Linked DNA regions of Drosophila melanogaster. The protein of the gene in region 2 binds, or shares a complex with, the protein of the main gene of each other region. Each region holds a gene or a part of one and is shown on either strand. Other genes may lie near its edges. The genes, in order: galla-2 and Ciao1. A codon is read from its position in the direction of its gene.

Evidence for each region.
Region 1: the proteins of Ciao1 (region 2) and galla-2 are in contact, whole or in part, in a crystal structure (PDB 6TBN), measured with the Drosophila melanogaster proteins. Residues at the interface, in NP_610996.1 of Drosophila melanogaster: Arg16 (codon at 1,552), Trp18 (codon at 1,546), Arg60 (codon at 1,420), Thr61 (codon at 1,417), Arg63 (codon at 1,411), Phe79 (codon at 1,363), Glu105 (codon at 1,285), Lys107 (codon at 1,279), Arg123 (codon at 1,231), Asp150 (codon at 1,150), Lys152 (codon at 1,144), Tyr168 (codon at 1,096), Asn170 (codon at 1,090), Ser195 (codon at 1,015), Thr196 (codon at 1,012), Trp198 (codon at 1,006), Thr216 (codon at 952), Ser248 (codon at 856), Gly249 (codon at 853), Gln250 (codon at 850), His251 (codon at 847), Ser252 (codon at 844), Arg253 (codon at 841), Tyr256 (codon at 832), Gly272 (codon at 784), Asp273 (codon at 781), Asp274 (codon at 778), Arg277 (codon at 769), Glu299 (codon at 703), Gln304 (codon at 688); in NP_648416.1 of Drosophila melanogaster: Ser74 (codon at 3,627), Pro106 (codon at 3,531), Lys109 (codon at 3,522), Thr111 (codon at 3,516), Ala124 (codon at 3,477), Lys127 (codon at 3,468), Gln128 (codon at 3,465), Asp131 (codon at 3,456), Lys132 (codon at 3,453), Glu133 (codon at 3,450), Arg134 (codon at 3,447), Ala136 (codon at 3,441), Ala137 (codon at 3,438), Glu140 (codon at 3,429).

What each region holds. Positions count from the first base shown.
Region 1 is NT_037436.4:10,880,605-10,886,863, reverse strand, and holds galla-2 (galla-2), read right to left. Parts: upstream 3,975-6,259; 5' UTR 3,902-3,974; coding exon 3,781-3,901; intron 3,726-3,780; coding exon 3,376-3,725; 3' UTR 3,291-3,375; downstream 1-3,290. Other genes in the region: OXA1L mitochondrial inner membrane protein, read left to right, coding at 879-962, 1,074-2,130, 2,205-2,389; CG6409 (uncharacterized protein), read left to right, coding at 4,846-4,857, 5,002-6,072. UniProt on the Drosophila melanogaster protein: Component of the crb-galla-Xpd (CGX) complex which is essential for proper mitotic chromosome segregation in early embryos. The CGX complex is also required for cell proliferation in developing wing disks.
Region 2 is NT_033778.4:14,853,363-14,860,435, forward strand, and holds Ciao1 (Ciao1), read right to left. Parts: upstream 1,687-7,073; 5' UTR 1,598-1,686; coding exon 590-1,597; 3' UTR 501-589; downstream 1-500. Other genes in the region: Ercc1, read left to right, coding at 1-193, 252-440; HPS1 (Hermansky-Pudlak syndrome 1), read left to right, coding at 2,150-3,940; CG33506 (uncharacterized protein), read right to left, coding at 4,151-4,483, 4,546-5,002, 5,062-5,234; U3-55K (U3 small nuclear riboprotein factor 55K), read right to left, coding at 5,599-5,837, 5,894-6,030, 6,088-6,285, 6,347-7,073. UniProt on the Drosophila melanogaster protein: Essential component of the cytosolic iron-sulfur (Fe/S) protein assembly machinery. Required for the maturation of extramitochondrial Fe/S proteins.

The DNA.
Region 1 (6,259 bases), on a different chromosome or scaffold from region 2:
TTTAGCAGCGAGTTGCGAGATTATTAATGTAGTTTTCCAAAAATTAACTGACTCTTAATTTATAGGTCTCCTAATTTGAAGATGACTTTTAGCACCTTCCACAATGTTGTTTGCTTGAGAACCAATTTCTTGTTTGAAATTGAATTAAGAACATTTTCCAGACTCAACTAGCAATCAAAAAATGTTTTATATTTACGTTTAAATGCCCCTTAAAATGTCATATTTTCGTTACGGAGTTTTAACCAATGTTAATATTTACATTGAATATAATATAATAGTAATAATAAGAATAATAATGATATAGATTCGTATCGAAATAAAAGAGAACTTCTAAAGAATTTGAGAAAGTTAAGAGGCAGGCTACTGGATTTTTGTCAGTAGTGATTTTATTTCAAATAAAATTTTAAGTCAACACGAAATTTTGACCAAGCTTAATTTCTCAAGAGGTTGATGTACATACCCAGAAACGTAAAAAGTAATGTAAGCGAAATGTTTGATAAATATAAGTATTAAAAACATCAAAATTTGTCCCAAAGAAACTTGTCATATTACATTTTTGTTTTTGTATTTCGTTTTGTTTTTTTTTTAACTAAACTACAATGTATAAATTTCCAAATTAATTAATTTATTAATTAAAGTTTTTTATTATTTAAGTTTTTTGAATTTATTTCTTTTCATTTAAACTTTTAGCGGTAATCTATAGTCTTGCTAAGTAGCGCCAGAGGGCGCTTTTCCGGAACAGCTGTGACTCTGCTTCTTTATTGCCGTTCACCCGCACGCGTAACTGTGTCCATCTCGCTCGCACTCGCCTAGCTCAAAACGAGGCGAATTTTATCATTTAATTTTATTTTGACCAAATTACGAGCGCTGCGCGGAAAATGTTGGCCCACAGGATGCAGCTTTGGAGGACAACAAACGCGGCAATGGCCATGACTTCCGCAGCCGGCCGTTTCACCCCACAGGTGAGTGAAGATCATTGAAAAAGAGCCGGCGACCTGTGACATAACCTGCAAGTTGGCCAATGTTTGTGTTCGAAAATGTACGCAAATTTCAATGAAAACTCTGTTTGCCAGGCATCCACGGGCAGCAGGAGAGATCTCTACCTCCAAAGGATTACCAGGGGCAGCAGTCTGCCCTTAGCGGCCCCCGAAAAATGGTCCAATCTCGGCCAGCTTCGTTTCGCCAGCGGTGGAGCAACTGCAGCGGGAGTTTCAGCCACCAAAGGCGAGGAGTTCATGCAGGCTGTGCCGAAAACGGAACTAGTGGATCTGCCGGACATACCCGCCGCTCCAGTGCCTCCACCCGCCGATGGTCTGAATGTAATGGATGTGATGAATGCCGCTGGCGAACCCTCCTTCGCCTCCATTGGCTTGGGCGGCTGGTCTCCGGTGGGCATGGTACAGAACTGTTTGGAATTCTTGCACTGCACGTGGGATATTCCCTGGTGGGGAACCATCGCCATTGGAACACTCGCAGTGCGAACCATAATCTTTCCATTGGTCATCTTGGCCCAAAGGAACTCTGCCAAGATGAACAACAATATGCCGCAGATGCAGATGCTGCAGCTGAAAATGACCGAGGCCAGGCAGTCGGGAAACGCCATTGAGTCCGCTCGTTATGCCCAGGAAATGATGCTGTTCATGCGGGAGAAGGGTGTCAATCCGCTCAAGAACATGGTAGTTCCCTTGGCCCAGGCACCGCTCTTCATTAGCTTCTTCATGGGACTGCGACAGATGGCTAACGCGCCGGTCGAATCAATGCGGGATGGCGGACTCTTCTGGTTCACGGATCTCACAATGGCGGATCCCTTCTATCTACTGCCCTTAATCACCAGTGCCACGTTGTACCTGACCATTGAGATCGGAACGGATTCGGCTCGCTTATCGGCTGCCAACATGAACACCATGAAATATGTGCTCAGAGCCCTGCCCATTGTTATCTTCCCGTTTACGATGAACTTCCCCGCTGCCATTTTGACCTATTGGGCGTGCAGTAACTTTATATCGTTGGGGCAGGTTGCGGTGCTAAGGATTCCCTCCGTGAGGGAGTACTTCAAGATCGAAAAGATGCTGACCCATGCGCCCAGTGCACTGCCACCTAAGAAGGGATTCGTCGGCGGAATGAAGGAGTGTAAGTAACAAGGACTGTCCCGCTTCATCTTTTACCTCTTTCGATTTACAACCTTTCTGTTTTGACTTTTCCAGCCTGGGACAACATGAAGATCTCGAAAGAAATCGAGGAGCGACAGCGCCTGGACGAGATCCGATTCGCCAAGGCCGGCAAGGGTCCGCTGGTCAAGACGTACAAGTTCGATCCCACGAAAGTGGCAAAACCCATTTCCGCGGAGCCGCACATGCGGCTAAAGGAGCCGCCGAACAAGCAGGGATAGTTCCTCCATCCTGTAATCGCCGCTGAGCGCTGTGTCTTGTTACGTTAATTTAACCCCTTAGTCTATAGTCCTTCATCATCCGAACGTTTTGCTGCTAAAATATAATTTGTAAATGTACAGAGGCAAACTTCTTGCTGATGAAACCTGATTTGAGAAGTTGGAGACAAAGTTTTGGTAGATGTAATCGCTGTAAAAATAAACTCGTCATGGAAGATACGAATGTATATAAAAACATGATCAGCTATAAATGAAATTGGTGAGTGTTTTCAGTTCAGATAAGATACGGTCCCGAAAGACAATCAAATATACAATTAATTGCGGATAGCTAACGCATTACTATAAAAAATATGGAAATGCTCAGCAAATACTATTAGTCTCAGTTTAAATGCCGTGCAATCAAAAACCATCAATCAATCGAAGCCGGTGTGAATTTTCAAGTTGCTGACCTCGATTATTAGCTTTTAGTTAGCATAGGCTCAGGTAATAAATAAAAGATTTAATAGCAATTATAATAACTAGAGAAGTAGAAGCAAAGCATTTACATGTTTTTAATGGCAAACCATAAAGATTGGTTGGATAGTTTAAAAACCATTTTGGATTATTTATCTATCCAAACAAGTCTAGTCATAGACATAAAAACAATGATGATTCCTAACCATACGTGGAATGCAAACTTGAAATAGGAAATAATTTAGTTTCTCTGACAGACAATTCGATTTGAGTAAAAGGTTATTATTACTACTTAACCAGCTGAGAAAGAGTACCCAATAATTAAATGATGTATGGCGAATGTCCATGTTATTGCTACCTACTAATAACTAACAATTAAGATAATAAACATTACAATGTCTGAAAAATTAAAATCGATCCAAATTTCGGGAAAGGAAAACAGGCACAAACTGCTTTTAAAACAAAATTATTATTACTAAACCAACATCATTATATATATATTTATATATATCTAAAACGAGGATAAAATCATGTAGTTAACCCTTGGCGGCGATGCACTGGTTGATCACCTCGGCGAGGTGATTGTTCTCCAGGGCGGCGGCCACTCGTTCCTTGTCTGCCAGCTGCTTGTTCACCGCCAGCTCGGAGGCGTGGGTGCCGGGCGTTATTTCCACGGTGACCTTAAAGCGAGGTGGCAGCGAGCGGAGCAACTTCACCCGGATGGAGAGGCCAATCAAAGTGGCCATCGAGCAATGGGGAATCGTCGGGGTGAAGCTGATGTGCACGGAATTCTGGCTATCGTTTATCCGGATTAGATCTTCCTGCACCACATGCAGCTCCTCCAGGGTCAAAGGATGTTCCGGGTCATTAATATTTCTGATGAGATCTGGGAAATACGCGAGTCATAAGATATATTCCTTAGCTATCTTCTTTGAACTCACCGAAAATCTCTCGTTTGTCAAATGGATCGGGCACGTTTTCGTCTTCTTCGTTGGCGGTTAATACCCTTTCCTTGATTCTGTCGTAGACATTGGGGTTGATGTTCTCGATTTCCGTGGGCATTTTGTATTGTTCTTTTCTTGAAAACCCTTTATTTACACGTTTTTTTGGCGAAGAGCAAAGAGAAACAATAAGCTATGTCTTTCAGTGTGTCCGCAGTTTTTAGACTATAAGATACAAAATAACACCACGTCTAGTTTATGGTGTGCACACACTTTTTGGGCGCCAACATTATTTGAATTCGAAATTGATCTCATTTTCATAGTTTCATCTAACAGAGCATTTAATTAGTTATACATTTATGCGCATCTTACGCTATTAAAGTTAGTTAATGAAATCTTTTTAATTAATGACAGTAGCCTTTTTTAAGGTTGGAATTATTTGAATACAAATTCAAGAAAATCAGGGCAATTACTAGATCAATCAAATCACAACGTACACTTCCAGGAAAACATCGCACAATTGATATGTTTACCTGTCATCTTACGTAAAGGGCGTAATTACAGACGCCTCGCGATCCATATTTATGTGCTCTTCAAATTAGCTGCGGGAATACTTAACTTAAGTTAGCCGAGCTTAACTTTTTTGCGAGCCAGTGCTAAATGGCCAGCAGATGTGGATGTGGATGAGTCCGTACTTGGCTGCGCTGCTGACTAAGCCTTGAGCCCATTTCGCCGGCCAAACCCGCTTTTATTTTCCATATTTTTATTCCATTTTGCCGCTTTTACGAGAAGCAGCGTTGCCGAGAAGCCGGCGCACTTGACGCCGATTTCCTCGGGTTATAATTAGCCAGACTTATCAATATCAACGTAGAAAAGCAGATTTACATTGTGAACGGGTTTCCGCGCACTTGGCGTGCATCTATTCGCAATTAGCACCGAATTACAAACTGGTTAACAGCCGCTGCCAACGGAGTGGAGAAGCCTGCGGTCGCCCATTTGGGTTTATAAAATGGGTCGCCACTTGGCTGAGATCAGCAGTTTGGGTCACATCTCCAAGCGGTCAGCATGAAGTCGGTTGTAAGTCAAGATCTCAGTTCTCTTGAAGATTATCCCTGAGTTTTCCATACAAGCTATTGTAATCGGTTAATTAATGAGGGCTATAAATTTTATCTTTTGAATATAAAATACGTTTTAATCTATTTGTGTTGCACATTTTCTTAGATTATTCTCTTAGCCCTGGTGGCTTTCTGCCACGCAGCACCTCTGGATGTCAAGGAGTCTACCTCTGAGGAGCTCTCTAGGCCCAGTCCCATCAGCCCCGATGTGCTCGTTGATCCCAAGCCCACCGCCAAGGTAGTCTTGCTGAAGGATGCTCCCGTCCTGAATCGCCAGAGGCGTAATGAACCCAAGAAGCCCGACAGCGTGGAGGCCCACGAACAGCTGCATCACTCGCAGCCGGCCGTTCCTATTCATGACCAGAAGCCTTCTCCGGCTGGGCCACAGGACCACAAGCGCAAGAGGGAAGCTCACCACGAGGAGGGTCACCATGGTGACGATGCAGTGCCCCAGAAGGAGGAAGTGAAGCAAGCTCCCGAGGACCATGACGCCAAGAAGGAAAAGAGAGAGGCTCACCATGAGGAGGGTCACCAAGACCATGAGGCTCCTCATAAGGAGGAAGTGAAGCAGGCCCCCGAAGCTCATGATGCCAAAAGGGAAAAGCGAGAGGCTCACCACGAGGAAGGCCACCATGGTGATGATGCAGCTCCACATAAGGAGGAAGTGAAGCAGGCTCCCGAAACACATGAGGACAAGAAGGAAAAGAGGGAAGCTCACCACGAGGAGGGCCACAAGGATGAGGCAGGTGATCGTCCTCAGGTGGAGGATCTTTCGCTGCCCCATGCCCTGCCCGCTGTGGCCCACACCGCCGAGCTGCCCAAGAAGCAGGAAAAGCGCGAGACTGTGGAGAAACCCGACAGCGTGAAGGCCCGTGAGTCGCTCCAGCACAATCCCCAGCGATCCCAGGAGCTCCACAAGGCCATCGAATCTCTGGCCGGTGGAAAGGCGCCGGAACAGCGTCACCAGCGCGATATTCCCGTGCCCACGCAAACCAAAGCCACCACCACCACCGATCTCCCATCCACCACCAAATCGGAGCTGGAAAGCACCACTCCGTCCATCCACAATCTCCACATCCCCCATCCCATTCCCGTGGCCGAGCTCTTCGAGAAGAACAAGCACGCGGATAAGTCCACTTCCAGTTCCGAGGAAAGCAAGGAGAAAGCTAAGGCCTAGGCTTCCTATGTTAAGAGTCGCTAATGGGACCATCACGAGATTTGTAGTCAGCGAAACGAACTAAAATAAACACAAATATTTACATGCTTATATAAAAAGACTGGGCGTTAATTATTTAATAAATATTTATGTGGATGGCTGTCTGTAAAAAGGCAGTTAATATAATAGGCAAAGTAAAAAGTGGTAT
Region 2 (7,073 bases):
GGTCCAGGTGGACACACCAGAGCCAAACAATGCCCTCAAGAGCTTGACCAGGATATCACTGTTAGCCGACCTGACAATGATGTTGGCCTGGAACGCTGAGGAGGCGGGCAAAATCATTGAGACGTACAAACAGTTCGAGAAGCGTCCGCCAGATTTGATCATGGAGCGAGTGGAGTCTAATCCACACCAGAAGGTACGCATGTTTACATTGCCAGTATCGCCACTGTAATGCAATATCCCAATGTCCATAGCTACTCGCTGCTCTCACCAACATCAAGCCGGTGAACAAGACTGATGCTGCCGCCTTGCTGCACACCTTTGGCAACCTGGGCAACATAATCAATGCCAGCGAGGAGCGACTCTCCCAGGTGATGGGACTGGGTCCCCGGAAGGCCAAGAAGCTGTACAAAACGTTGCAGGAACCGTTCCTCAGCAAATAGCAATCCATATTAGGTGTAATGCATCCCATAATCGTGTATGACACACTTCATCCATCATTTGAATACTTTAATTTTTTATTACGCAGACACTGTACAAAAATTAAGTTCCAGAATTACCCACTTAAATATATCAAACAATAATCCTTATGTTACTCGGTCACTTTCCAAATTTTAATGGTGCCATCATCGCTGCATGATATCAGTTGCCCGGCCACCACAGGATTCCACTGCACCGAGTTTACGTCCTGATCGTGAGCGCCTTCCTCCGCGGTTATCTGCTCGAACGTGGGTTCGTCTGGCTTGGAGTCGCTGCTCTCCTTAAAGATACGAATGCCGTCGTCGCCACAGGCAGTCGCTATCAGACCTGTAAGCTTGCACCAGGACACGTCGTAGATAGCCCGCGAGTGCTGCCCGGACACTGTGCACACGCACTTCCACACGGTTTGCTGGTCGGGCGTAGCCACTCCGGCTGTATTTCCGGGATGGTAGGCCCTCCAAATCTTTATTGTGGTGTCATCGCTACAGGAAACCAGGCGCTCGCCATCAGCATCGAAGTCAATGCCCCAAACCGTGCTTGTGTGTGAAGTAAGAGTGGCTGTGCAATCCCAGTCGTTGTCTATGGGCTCCTCTGCGAACATTTTTATGGTATTGTCGTACGAGGCGGAGGCCAAAATGTCCTTGGTTGGATGCCACACCACTCTCTTCACGTCCTGTGTGTGCGGGTTCAAAACGGCGGCGCACTCGAACTCATCATCGCCGGCAACCTCCCAGATCCACACGGACTTGTCCCGCGAACAGGTGGCCAGTAGTCCGCCGGATCGCGACCAGCTAACGCTCTTCACCTCGTTTTCGTGACCCTCCAATGTTGCGTTGCATTCGAATTCTCCCGAGGATTTCGACCAGATCGCCGTGGTGGCATCAAAGCTGGCCGAGGCCAAGTACTGACCGCATGGAGACCATCGGATCTCGCGAATAGTGCGCTTGTGGCCATCGGATAGGATGGTCTTTGTGCTCCAAGTGTTCCCGGTCAGCGACCAAATGCGGATGGCTTTGTCCTCGCCGCACGAGGCGAATACGTTGCCCTTAGGATGCCATGCCACTCCCCAGATGCGCCCCTTGTGGCCCTGCAGCGTGTGTTCCAGAATTAAACGTCCCATTGATGGTCAAGTGCTGTATTAGTGGACAAATCACTGTCTGTCCAAATAATGATAACATAAGCGCATGTCGCAAGAAGAAGAAAGTCAGCTGTCGTCAGTGTGGTCAAACGTCGGCAGAAGTCGTTCATCTAGCTTAATTTGTAAATCGGGATAAAATTAAATTTTAAAATTGTGTTCTTCATATCTAAGCAAAGCGATATTGCTTTGCAATAATAAAAAAATGCAATAAATTTGAAAATTCATATATTATAAATTATAAATTAATTTGATCAGGAAACTTATTACAGTTCAATACTTAGTAACTCAACTAAAAGCAATTTCAATTGGCAATTCGGATAAAAAAAGTCGAACGTATACTAGGCTTTTAATATATAATTCTGGCTTGAAAAGCGTTGAATTGCTCAGAGCTGAATCGCTCTAGTGTTGTTAAATGCTGACTTGAAGTCTTCACCTTTTCTTATCAGAACACACACCGAATTCCGTTACCCAGCACCAGTGACACTGGTGAAAGTTTTGTTGTGTATTTGGTGTTTTGCCAATGCTGATAAGAAAATGAACGGACTGATTGTGTTTAACAGCGCCAACGATGTTGTATACCAGAAGCTTAACGAGCCGCTGGCGCAGAAGATCCGGAGTGTGGCCACCACCCAGGGCCTGCTCCAGTCCGGCGGCTCCCTGGACAGCAACATACTGCTGCAGATTTTCAGCCCCATCGTTGGATCTCAGCGAATAATGCAGTGCCAGTTCGATAATGCCTACTCCAGCCTGCAGTGTGAGCAAGGCTTCAATTTGGTGTTCGGCGAACTTCTTGGCTTCACCTTTCTGAAGATCGGACAAATACCCGTGGAGCTGCTGGGTCGCCAAATGGGTGTGGCCATTACGCTGACGCGCTATTGTTACGGCGCCAATTTGTTTGCCGCCCAGGCGGGGGCCATGCAACAGGAGTTGCTGACGCAGTGCCTCGACTGCTATGAGACTTTGTTGTGGGAGGAGGATCAGACGTACCTGCTGGAGGCCATGCCCAGGCTGCTGATCAACACGGAACTAAAGAGGACAGTGCATCTGACGCTGGACGCCACGCTTGAGCACTTGCGCCAGCTCGGACTGCCCCGAGCCCACGCCCTGTTGCTCGTTTCCAACAAGCTGGTGGCCGCGAACAGCACTCGGCAAGCTCTGCCGCTTGCTGCCGCCGACCTACTCTTCCTCAGCCTCATGTCACGCGCCCTGCAAGCGCCAAAGTCCCCTTCCCAGCGAGCAGTAGCTGTATTCCTGCAGGGTGTCTCCTATGATGTGAACTCTGGCTGCGTTCCCAGTATCGTGCACATCTCGCGTCTCCATGGTAACCAAGTTCTCCTGCAGGTCATCGAGTACGCCCACATGCCACTGACCAGCTGCATCTACGATTCCTTCTTTGTGCTTCAAAAAATCGTGGCTGTTCAGCATCAGGGCGATTCGGATGCCCTGAAGCCCGCCTTCGAGAACCTCGAATCGTTTATTGTGCAGGCCTTGACCGCTTTGAAGCGATATCTGAAACAGCGATCGGAAACCGATGACCTAGAGAACTGCACGAAGAAGTTCGCCGCTAAATGGGAGAATCTTCGCAAGATGTACACTGAGTACTTCAAGAACTTTGAGCGGGAGCTGCTCGTGAGGATTGAGTCGAATTTGCCCTCGTTCGGAGAGGAACTGAAGCAGATATTCACACTGGCCTGCTGCGACAGCTCAAGTGTCCATGAGCTGGATCAACTCTCTGATACGGCAGCGAATGTGGAAGCCAAGCTACTGGAGTTCGCTGAATTTCTGGCCGTTAAGGCCACTCGTAACATATCCATTGATGCTTATTTGGAGGATTTTCCGGGTCTGGTGCACTTTATGTACGTCAATCGCAGCCGAGGACAAATGCTTGCTCCGGATCTGCGACCGAACCAGCTGGTGCCAAAGACAAAACTCTGGAGCATGGTGGAGATCGCGAGAAATTACCTTAAGAAGGGCCAGACCACAGTGATGTGGAAGGATAAGGCATTCCATTACTCGTACTTCCTCTGGTTCGAGGACATGTCTGGTGGCGTTCTTAGTACCGTCGTGGATTTGCAGCACCACTTTCTGTCCACAGGAGCAGCCAGTGGCAACGGTTCGAAATCCCCAACAGAACCAGGTGCTCTTACAATGGACTATTACCACGATCTGGCGGAGTTGTGCTTCCCCAAGCTGTCACCGGCCAAAGTGCGCGTCTACGAGTTGTATTGCATTCATCTGGGACTGGTAACCGCCACATGCGCCGTGGAGCATGCACGTCGCCTGGTGGCCACCATCAGTGATGTTGTGGGCGAGGAAGCGTTTTAAGTGCATTGGCCATTGGTCATTCCAGATTTATAACATGATTTCTAGTCAATTTTCGAGACTCCTAGGCGAGATAATCCACTCGAAATTTTGTTAGGTTTAGGACAACTATCATCCACTGTTATAGGCTACACAACAAGGATATTTGTAAAGTTATTGGAAACATATATATTTTCTTCAACCGGCAATAAAAATGTAACAATAAATGTGTGTTTACTCTGTTTCAGGCTGTTGCGCCTTTTTGAGTTCCTCCAGCTTCTCCAGGAAGAAAGATTTTCGTGCTGTTAGCGGCATGGACTTTTGCCGAATCATATAGTTTTCGTTGCCCAGTGCAGTGTAAACGTCATTTCCAATCAGCTCCCTCAGCGCGATGTTCTTCTTTAGATGTTTGTCGTAAAAGCTAGCTCCAGCTGCCACAAGTTGGGGACCCATCGTGGCCAGTCGCTGGTCAATCTCTGCGTCCGTAGAGACCTGATTGTAGTCTTTCATGAAGGACCAGAGCCCTAAGCCAAACAGACCCAGAATGCTGTAGAGCACAAACCGCACCTGGTAGTTGAAAAACGGAAATCAGTAAAAAATTTTAAAAGTGAGAGAGGTTGAAAACTCACGCTTCCATGGCGGGCGAAGAGATCTAGCCGCAGGTTGAGGTAGTGACCCATGGTGTAAACCATAAGAAAGCTGACGCTGGGAAAGATGGAGTTGAGCAGTACCCGATGGGTTTGCATCTGCAGAACAGCCTTGCTAAGACCGAAAATCTGTTCATCCTCATTCAAAACGATGGCTTCCTCTAGCAGTTTTCCGCTGGGAGAACTCCAGTTGATCTGTTTGTCTCTAAACCGAATGTCTGCCCGCTTAATCTCCTCCAGACTGTCGTATCCATAGTTCACCGGTATGCCCAAAGCGCCTCCAAATCGAAACTTAGTGGTGCCCGCCTGGAAAACATCGAATCCAAAGACGGTGAAGGGCTTCACAAACTTTCGCTCAAAGGGCGTCACGCCCAGCTGATCCAATGCCTTTTCCAGGCGCTGCTGCACTGCCTCCGGCACTGGACGCCCCACGCCGTGTCTATGAAAAGAAGTGGGATGTTAGAATCGCTTCCAGTCACCAAAAGTTTTCTCACCCACTGGTAGCATTGCACGAAATCGCGGTAATATTTCAGGCCGAATGTGTGCGGCAGGAAGTTTCCAAGAAAGAGGCCCACTGTGGTGGCTCCCGCCGCGTAGAATACGAGTTTTCGGCCCTTTTCAGTCTTAAAATAGGAGAAGAACCCTCCACCGGTTTTTAATTTCGGCAACATTTCAGCACTTATTGTTTTGTAACAGGGCCAGTGTGACCATGACTAGCTATTGAAAGTAGCCAACACTAAGGAACCATTTGCGGTTATAACAAACCGAATATCGGTTTTAGAAAAAATATTTGAGCTAATGGAAATAGACGACCAGATACCCCTTACTTTAATATAAGGAGTTAAATTTCAATCTGAAGCAAATTTAATAAATTCAAAAACATTCGTTTGATCTTGTTTATAAAGAACAAATAAATTTTATATGTTTGAAAGTAAGAACCTTCAGGTAGAAGATACAAATGATCTTTATGTATATATTTTCAGGCCGTTTCTTGTTACAAAAACTATACAACTTTACTTAAGCTTAGAAGTTAACCTAACTGCTGGCCGCGCTCTGTAACTTAACGTCGAGTACAACTACTTGGTTTTTTGCCTCCTTGAGTCGCCACCAGCGACCCAGGCGGTGCTCCTGTCCGGTGGCCACAAACAGCTTGCTGCCATCGGCATTGAAAGCCAGTCCGTTGATGAAGCCGGCGATGGATATGCTCTGGATTAGGTTCATTTTACGCGCGTTGGGATTAGTCTGCCAAAGACGGACGCAACCGTCACAAGAACCTAGAATCATGAATATTTAATTACAGTTCGCAGTAAGAAATATGCGCAATTCCCACCTGTTGCCACTAAATCCGTGTTGACCACCACAGCAATGGCGGTTATCCAGTTGGCCACGCCATTCTCGCCCACTCCGTGCGCCAGTTGCGTTGTACAAATGGGCTTCTTTTTCAAAGCGCTCCATAAACCGATTGCTCTGTAAAATGGTGTTGTTACTTCCATACTGAATTAGTTAGCCAGACTCCCAACTTACCCATCCATGCCACCAGACACAAAATGCTCATCGTTGATGTACTTAACGCACTCAATGCTATCTTTGTGTCCATTGTAGATCAGCTGCGATTCCTCTGTGATCTTCCAAATGCGCAAGGAGCAATCCGAACCGCCAGCGGTAATGGCGCGCTCTCGACTCAGTGCATCTATGCTAGTTACTGCCGTTTGGTGACCGAATCTGAAAGGAGGAGCTCGTTAAATGTCTGATATTAAGGGGGATTAACTAGCATAGTACTCACAAACTCTCCACATAGGCCATCTCATCCAGGGACCAGATTTTCACCGATCGATCCTTGGCTGCCGAGTACAAGTCATGTGTGCCTTTGCGAAAGACCAGACCTGCCACACTATCCCGGTGGCCTTTAAGAGTCTTAATGTGCTTCATCGTCTGGGGACACCAAATTTGAATGTGTGGACCACCTTCGGCCAAGGCCAGATACTTCATGTCCGAGGACAGGCATATGCTGATGACATGCGATCGCCTTTTCTTGCCCGTTTCTGGTTCCTCGCGATGCGACAGCACGTCCGATTTCTCCAGCACCTTCCCCGTTTCCGTGCACCACTTAAGTAGGAATTGCGATTTGGCTCCCGTGTAGAGGAATTTACCATCCGGACTGAGTGCAAGGGCACAGATAGGCGTGTGGTGGAGTTTGTGCTTGAGGATGCGGCTCGATTCGCAGGCTTTCAGGCTGCCAGCAATGTTCCGGCGCAGTTTGCCCACGCTATCCAAGTATTCCGTTTGCAAGCGCTGCTCCACGCTTTGGGCCAGCTCCCGATCCTCGGCGCGTTCCGCCTCTTGCTTCTCGATCTCCGACAGATACTGTTTGGCCAGACGCAGGCGCTTGTCCTGCGGCGTTTCCTCCTCGCCCTCGTCGGATGAAAATGCCAAGGTGTTGTCATCGCCGCCCAGATCGCTGTTGTACTCCTCATCGTCGCTAGCTATCTCCTCGTCCTCCTCCTTGGGAC